2 linked regions of the Coturnix japonica genome follow. The protein of the gene in region 2 purifies or fractionates together with the protein of the main gene of each other region. This does not show direct contact. Links are inferred from orthologs where the notes say so. Each region holds a gene or a part of one and is shown on either strand. Other genes may lie near its edges.

Region 1 (4,245 bases), on a different chromosome or scaffold from region 2:
CTTTAAGGTCTTTTCCAACCTGAGCAACTCTGATTCTATGAACCCTTTCCCTACTCTGACAGCATTCACATTCCATAGGACAGACTGACACTTGTCATTCATTTGTAAGGAGAGAGGGGAGGGCTGCGCTCCCGGTGTGAATCAGAGAGCAGGAGCATATGTAAGGCAACGTATTTGACATGAACAGAGAGAAGACACAAGGAGGGGTGAGTCACTGTTTACCGTTCTAGAGGAGCTCCGCACAGCCCTCGCCCAGCTGGCCAGCTTTCCATTTCCCTTATGGATCGGAACCAGCATCCAGCAGCAGAGAGGAGCTTCACGAACCTTCAGAGCAAAGGCGAGAGCTGCCAGAACACGGCTCTATGAGGCGCTCTCTGGGGAAGCCTGGACGGAGATCAGACAGCCCTTGGTGGTTGGGTAAACAGCCTCGTCAGATGCTGCAGAGCCTGCGGTCAGCGAGCAGAGCACCAGGAGGGCACATTGCACCACATCACAAATGGGACCTTGGGGAGCAGGTGGCCAAAGGGGACAGGTACAGGACAGACAGAGGTGGTGCTCATTGACCACAGGATGCAGCACTTTTTCCATCATGCACGTACAGGGGGTAGAGCTACACTACAATCACATCTGAGCATCACTAGTCCAGGCAAGCTGCGCCTGCGAGCAGCAGCCAGCTCACCCATACACAGAGCAATGCAAGGACAGGTCAGGATCCCCAGTGTCCCCATGCCATTGCCAGCCAGCAGGTCGGACACCTTCAGCTGCTGCACAGCAGTGGCATTCAGGTCCTGCAGCACCGCAGAGCAGGGCTTTGCTACGCCTGCTATCCCACTGCTCCAGAGCTCAGCAGCAGTGGGACGGCTCCTGCCTCTCCCCCAGCCCTCGTGTTTATGGCCATGGAGCTGCATGGCTTTGTGCTTGCTTCATGCTTGGAAGGCTCAGTGCTGGGGTTTGAAGATAGCCTGAAACAATAGCTCAGACAAGTGGAAACTGCCGGCTCATCTCGACAGGGTGCTGAGCCGGAGACTTCCTGAGAGCTGAAAGCACTCTCGCCTCTCGAGCACTTCACAGCTGGATGTTTACAGCACGGCCAGCTCAGCACACAGCCCCCCAGCGCCAGAGCTCCCAGCTGTCCCCTCCTGCTGCCCAAACACAGTCACAGCCTCACTGTGCTGCCCGCTCTCACCCCGCTCATTCCACGCCATTAATCGCTTCCCAACACGGACGCACACGGGGTGTATTGTGCTGCTCTGAGCTTTCCCTTTCGGATTGCACACAGCACCGAGCGAACCGTGAGCTGCAACAGATTGCTGAGAGAGCACGAGAACGGGATGAAACACAACAAACCACAACGAGGGGAGAGGAAAATGCTGACGATCGGTCGCCTGGCTCAGAAAACACCTCCGAGGCCGGGTGTGAACCTGCACCAACCATAGGTACAGACACGCACCGTGCCAAGCTGAGCCTCCAGCTACGGACAGCCGCCGTGCCCCATCCTCGCGGTGACCGCAGGGACAATTAATTAGCGGCCAGCTCCCCGTTAGGTGCCGGCAGAGTTAACTCCGCTGCCTGCCGGCTCTTCGCGGCGCCATTGGGCAGCAGCGGCGTCCATCACAGCGAGGAAGTGACTGCGCGGGGAAGGAGCTGCGCTGCGCTGCGCTGGGGGACGCGGAAGGAGAGGGGAAAAGCAGCAACACGCAGCGCTGAGCGCAGACACGGCCAGGTAATGAATGCTGTGAGTGCTGGGGTATCAGCGATGGCACGGAGCTGCCTTCCAGCACATCCCTCCCGACGGCTGTGCCCGTTCCCAGCCCTGCTCGGGGCTGTTGGAACTCAGAAGGCAGGTGACAGCAATAGAAAGGCCCTGTAGCTTTCTGTGACAGCGCTGCCCAACGGGCCCGTTCCCAATTCGGGACCTGGTGGCCTGCTTTTGGTGCAGCTCTGGGACAGCCCCGCGGGAGAGCAGCGGGAGGAGGGCGGCCGTCCTGCAGCTCCGCTCTCGGTTCCTCTCCCCGCTGTCCCCACGCCGCTCTCCGGCTCTGACCTTCCCCACCTCCACGAGGAGCTCGGAACGGCTTTTCCCGCAGCCCCGTTTCCGAGCAATAACGACACTCATCACCATCATAACAAAACCCCCGGCCGTCCCGCGCGACGGCGGCTCAACACGAGGAGGCGGCGGGACACGGCGCTGCCCCCATCGCTCCCCGCAGGAAGCAGCGCCGCGCGTGGCCGTGGGCCGGGTCGCGCTCTGAGCCTCCATGCGCGGCACTGCGCGGTATTTCCAACCAACAACAGGTTGACCCCGCTCTATTTTACGCCTCGCTCTGAGCTCCAAAGGCAGCACGGAGCAGCAGCCCCGACTCGCGGCAACTTTCTTTCGGGGAAGGTGGGGGGTGTAGAACGGCGCCACGTGCCGCCGGGCCCGGTGCTGCGCGGGGCGGCGGCCCCACGTGCCGGCGCGGTGGTGACTCAGCACTTTCCGCTCGGGTTCGACCCCACCCGAACGGCACCGCGCCGGTTCCCCCATCCTCACAACACCTCCAACCCCCCCCTGAACCTCCTCTCCCTCCTCCCCGATCTCTATAGTGTTGGCGGAGGCAGAACCGCGCGGCCCCCCCCCACCCCCCCGCCCCCCCCCCCCGCCGTGCCCGCGCCCGGTGCTCACCTGCGTGTCGGCGGGAGCGCGCGCGCGCCCGTGTCGTGGGGGGGCGGCGGCGGCGTCGTGGGGCGGGGGGCGGCGGCGGGGGGCGCTGCTGGGGCTCGGTGCCTCCCTGAGCGCCAGGTCCCGCGGACAACAACAAGCGCGGGGCGGCCCCCTCCCCCCCGGCCGCTCCGCCGACCAACCAGCGCCCCCGCCGCTTCCGGCACGGCGCGTCACCGCGCGCGTCACCGCCGCCACGCCCCGCCACGCCGCGCCCCGAACGCGCGCGTCACCGCCGGCCCCGCCCACGAGGTTCATTCATGGCTGGGGAAGGGGCGGGAAAATGGGTGACGTCACCAGGCCACGCCCACACAACCTCCCGCCGGCGCGCCCCGAAGTCCCGCGCCCGCCACCTGAGCTCTGGGCAGCGGGTGTTGCATCAGTGCTGCCAAGGGAAACACCCACCACGGCCCGACCCTCCTGCAGTGCCAGGTCAGCGCAGGTTGAGCCAACCCAGCAACCCCCATCGAAACCGGACTCCTGTTGCGTTTATGTGCGGGGCTATTTATGGCTGCATTGCGAAGCCAGCGCCGGCTCTTTGCAGTCTGTGCTTTGCAGCCTCGGGGCCAAACCTCCTCCAATAGCTGAGGGCTGCACTCAGACTAAGGTTGAAGCAGGAGCTGCAGTACTGCTGACTTCACCCCTCCTGTGTTTGCAGACTCTGCTTTAAATCTGGCCCGCTGGCTGAGCCGTGCTGGGCTCAGGGTTCAAGGACAGGTCTGAGCCAGCCCTGTGCTCCCTGCTGGGCTCTGCGTGTGTTTTGCATCCTCATCTCACTCTCCAGCTCACAGAGCCCAACGAAGGACAGGAGCCCTATGGCCAACAGTGTCCCCAGTGCTGCTACCCACCCTCTGCAGGTGGTGGAACAGCCACAAGGGCCCTGTTTGCATCCAGGACTTCTCTCAGGTGGTGGCTCTTACATGTGGTCTCACCCACTGCTGAGAGCCAAAGTGGGACATTCTCCCCTGGCTTTGCAAGGATGAACATATTGTGTGTGGCTTGGTAAAGGGGGGTGGCTGAAATTCAGCAAATTGGCCATTCACAACAGATCTGGGTTTTTGTTTCCATTCCAGAAGAGAGCAGCTCAGCTCCAAAGGTCTGTTGTCTTTTGCTGCTGACCTTTAGACTGAAGTGGCCTTCGACAGCAAACAACCAGCAGCTCTGATCTCCTGAGAGTGCAAACCTGGCTGGGAGCGTGCACAGACACACACTGCTTAACAGGAGAGTGTGAGCACGTGGCAGAGAGTGCAATGGGTGAAAAACAAGGGGACAAAAGGGGCCTCTGGGGGAGCTGTGGGTCAGCCCCACTGCTGTGTGCTCAGAGCAGGTCAGGCCCCATAGAGTGCTCAGCACAGGCATCTCTTCCAGCTTCTGCTTAGGCTAATCACTCTGATCCTGAAAAGGGGAGGCTGGAAATGTGACTGTGCAGCATCTTGAGACCCAGTGTATACACAGGAGAACTGAAAACAAAACTCATCCATCTCCCTTATTCTCCAGCACGGGGCTTTGGAACAGCACTGGGCATGGATCTACCTGTATGTACA
Region 2 (4,387 bases):
GTTCAGGCAGCTGCCAAGGTTAATGTCTTTTGGCTAAATTTAAAGAAACGATGACTTTTTTTTTTTTTTTTTTTTTTTAAAAAAAAAAAGCCGAGTGAGCAATTGAACACTATTCTGAAAAACCTCAGGGAATTATTGGGGGTGGGTGGGAATCTACTGCCCATTCAGCTGCTACAACAAAACCGTGTGGGCACCTCTTCAAATATCTGCAGAGAACGACAAGGACAGGCACTACAAAGGCCCCATTCCCCATTCTCTTCAAGCATTTGTAGTCAGAAGGAGCCCTGAAGCAGCAGGAGTAACCTGGGCTCACAGAAAGCCTATATTTCAGTTTAAATTGAGATTTTCCTCTGCACATAAATTGAATGGCTTGTGTATTTTCTCTCACATACTCCAGCCCAGAAACCACTACTATACAGTCAATTACACTAACACAGACCCAGAACCAGCAGAGATGGAAATTCAGACCCAGAGGTGAGAGATGGAAGGAAGCACCCGTGCCTTCAAACCCCAGATGGATCAGCTAAATGCTGCAGGTACGTTCCTTTAGCTTGTAAACTGAGAAACCATTCAGGGAAGCACTCCTTTGAGCAAAAAGGCATGCACGCTTTGATTTGAATATATAACCCGTGTTCATACAACCTAAACAAAAATTGCAAAAGACTGATTACAAATCACGTAATAAGCGCTACTCAACTTGCACCAACAGCTTATTGCACAAAAATGCCATTACTACTGAAATCATTACTCTGCATGTATTACTTACACATCTCCTTTTTCAGCTGGAGTTCCAGACACTTATTTGCCACATTCAAAGATGTCTCTTAAAAACAAAATATCTGTGCATGTGCAAAGAACATCATCAGCACACAATGAGAAAACACCTCTTTGTGTTCTCCTCCAAATGCTTTGGAAAAGGTGGGATCGTTCATTTTCCTTTTTCTGGCAATATTTCTTAGGGGAAGCAACTCTCAGGCAATCACAAACAAACAAACAAAGCCCAGCTATCGCACTTCAGAACAAAAACACAAGCAAAAAAAGTTTTAGAAGAAGAAAGGGCAAGATACTCCTGCCACACACTGCACACCACACATCGTCTGCGGGGAGCTTTATTTCCAGCTCTTTGTCACTAACCACACAGACGGAGACCAATACATAAGATCACTGGCGGTATGGGAATTTGATTAAACTCGTTAATCCCACCACATCTCTGAGGCCATCCACAATGCCTAAGGTTTACCACGATTTTCTCATGCTAGGAGCATCAAGTCCATGCCTGTTTACTGGAATTTGGACTGTCACTCTGAGCCAGCATCTCCAACTTTCCCTTGTAGACAGCTAAGAGGAGCTGCCCATCTCCTCCTGCAGAACAACCAGCAGAAAGCACAGCAGGGAGGAGCAGAGGGTGTCCCACCCACATCCTGCGAGACACCAACACCAGCAGATGTCCCAGATGCACCCCAGGTGAGGAAGACTGAGACAACTGCCCCGGCTTTCTGTTCCCAGTGCAGGGTCTGGCACACACCAGTGGGGATTTGTCCGTGTGCCCACATCACTCATGTCATTGCAGCCATCACTGTCTTTCCAATTGGGAAAGTCTACATGAATTGCACAGTAAGCACGCGTTGGAAGGGGAACTTTATGGCTTGCTGGCTGTCAGGCACAAAGCCTTGTAAAACACTGCTTTAAAGCAGTTAATACAACAGCCCCATGGACAACAGCCCAACATGCGGTGTAGTCATTTCATTCTGTCCACCTCAGTGCATTTTGGCATTGACACACCTGGAGATGTCAATGTATCCGAACACAGCCAACCTCCCCCAGTGGCACCGCACAGCCTCAGACAGTCCCCAACCCAAAATGAGCTGGAGACTCTAAACACCCAACTACAACAAGCACAACTTTAGAGACAGATGCAGTGACTTAGAGAAATGGGTTTACATTGAGAGAACACCGACACACCTTCAGCTACGGCCAACTACACTTTCACAACCACTCCGCCATCCCAACGCACAATTCCAATGGGCTGCCCGCCACTCCTGCTTATTATTATTACCCCGAGCAGCGAGGAACACGCTCTGCTCCACCAGGCTGGTGCCAGCTCCCAGCACACCCAGAATAGCCCACAAATAGCCCGTGCCACATGAGGAGCGCTGCCACTTCACACCTCGCCACGCGTTGCGGCCGTGCTCGGCATCTCCCCGTAGCCCTGAGCCAGCGGTGAAGGAGGGAAGTGGAGTGAGCCCAATGTGCACCCCAATGAGCGGGGGTGGGAGCAAGGGGGTGGGCACGGCGGTGGGACAGGGCCCATGCCTACACACATATGCGTGTACACATACGGGTACGTAAGTACTGCGTGTATATATAGGCATATATATATATATACACACGTATGTATGCGTATAGACAGACGATACGTACACCCAGAGGACCACTTGCGCTCCCCCCGTTACGCAACGCGTGGTTCCCCTCGCAGCGCTCCCGCACCGCAGCCCCGCGCAACAGCTGCTCGAGGCCGAGGAGGGGTGGAGAAGGAGGAGGAGGAGGAGGAGAGGAGGAAGGCTCCCGCCCGCCGCCGCCCCACTCACCTCGCCGCGCCTCCGCTCAACTTTGGGGGTCGCCGCTGTCGCTGAGCTGCGGCCGATGGGGATCGGGGAAAGGAGTGCTGCTGCTGCTGCTGCCGCCTGTTGTTATTGTTATTGTGTTTGGAAATTGTTGTTAACCGCTCTCTCTCTCTCTCTCTTGCGGTCACCGACCTACAACGCGGCCCACCCCGTTAAATACCGGGGGGGTGGGGGGAGGTTAATTAAAAAAAAAAAAAAAAAAAAAAAAAAAAAAAAAAGCCGCGACCCGAAGGCTCATCACATGGCGCTCGCTTTGAAGCAGCTGCTCCCTGAGCCGGAGCCGTGAGGGGGAAAAAATAAAAGGGGGGAAGGGAGGAGGAGGAAAGGAGGGGGCTGGCGGGGGCCGGAGGAGGAGAGAAAGCCGCAGCGGAGAGAAGAGGAGGAGGAGGAGGAGAAGGGAAGGGGGGAGCGGCGCTGCCGGAGCGGCACCGGGGCCGGCGGCGGGGGCAGCCCGGGGCCGCTCGGCCCGGCCCGGCACGGCGCGGGCGGAAACGGCGGCGGAGGAGGAGGAGGAGGCGGCGCTGGTGCTGCTGCTGCTCCGCGGCCGCTGCTGCCCCGCTCTGCCGCTGCCCGCGCCCCGCCGCCAAGCGCGCCCCGGCCCGGCGCCGCCCCCGCCCCTCAATCGCTACATTGTTGACATTCGCCAGGCTGACATCATCCTCCCCGCCCCGCTCCATTCACAACAACGCTACGCCAACAGCGCAGCGCGCCCTCCTTCGCCCGCCTCGCTCTCTACGCACGGAAACATGCGTACGGCCGCTCCGCGAATAGCGGCGACGAGGACGCCCCGCCTCCCCCTTGCTGCCCAGGAGGGGGGCGGCGCATGCGCTCGGCTGGCTCGCTCCCCCCGGGCTGTGTGTGTATGTGTGTGTATATGTGTATATGCGGTGTTACAGCCGGACTCCGACGGCCGCGAGGGGCTGTGGGAGCCGTAGTCCACCACGAGGGGCCGTTGGGGCGGCCGCCATGGCCGTGGGGGTCCGCTGTTTAGAGCTTCGTGCCCGGCTCCCGGAGCCGGCGGGCACCGGGGATGGAGTCGGGGGGTTCGGGCCGGCTGAGTGGTTTGGAGGGAGGGCGAGGAACCCACCCGGCCGGCCCCGGCTGTCTCGGAGCCCCGCTGTTGATCCTGGTGATATTTTACGCGCTCCGCCCCTTGAGAAACCTCATCCTCCAGCTCTTGCCAACCGCAAGCGTCCAACAGTCATGAGTCAGCCCTGCCAAACATCATAGAGGAATAGATAAGTGCTCCCGAGATTAAAAACAAAAACAAACGCCCGTGAGGCCGTCCCGACGCGGGGTGCTGCCTGCTGCTGAGTCTCGGCAGCGAGGCCGTAGTGTCAGCAAACGCCGATAAAGAACGATGCTGACCCGCAGCTAAACGCGAGCACGTTTGGTAATTAACGCGTGCCTGTTTACTGTTTCGTAGCCGTTGATACATGTATCCATCCCGGTTTTCCCCCTTTACTACGCTGTGCTTTCCATGTTCTTCTCGGGGCAAGGAGTAGTTCTTGTGTTGAACTGAACTTCGGATCTCACCGCTGCATTTTTCCAAGTCAACTTAATTACAGAAAACTGTGCAAAGAGACCATGTCGACACAAAATCAGCTCTGTGCATGTGATGTCAGACATGCCCTCACTTTTCAAAAGCAACACTCTCCCCTAGTTTGCATTTTGAATGGTTGTCTGCTCGTGTAAAGCAAGAAGCATTCTGGTTTAGCAGCATGTTACCCCTGTGTTTTGTAGCTGCGTGTGGCAGCAGATTG

What was found.
Region 1: the proteins of BACH2 (region 2) and MAFK purify together in Homo sapiens (co-immunoprecipitation; 3 studies listed by BioGRID and IntAct, with this or other methods). This does not show direct contact. The link is inferred for Coturnix japonica from reciprocal best matches to the Homo sapiens genes BACH2 and MAFK.

The regions. Positions count from the first base shown.
Region 1 is NC_029529.1:2,690,664-2,694,908, reverse strand, and holds the start of MAFK (transcription factor MafK), read right to left. Parts: upstream 2,821-4,245; 5' UTR 2,666-2,820; intron 1,724-2,665; exon of another isoform or gene 1,189-1,723; intron 1-1,188. Other genes in the region: lysosomal alpha-glucosidase, read left to right, coding at 2,985-3,133. UniProt on the Homo sapiens protein: Since they lack a putative transactivation domain, the small Mafs behave as transcriptional repressors when they dimerize among themselves.
Region 2 is NC_029518.1:68,534,412-68,538,798, reverse strand, and holds the start of BACH2 (transcription regulator protein BACH2), read right to left. Parts: upstream 3,062-4,387; 5' UTR 2,589-3,061; intron 1-2,588. UniProt on the Homo sapiens protein: Transcriptional regulator that acts as a repressor or activator. Binds to Maf recognition elements (MARE). Plays an important role in coordinating transcription activation and repression by MAFK.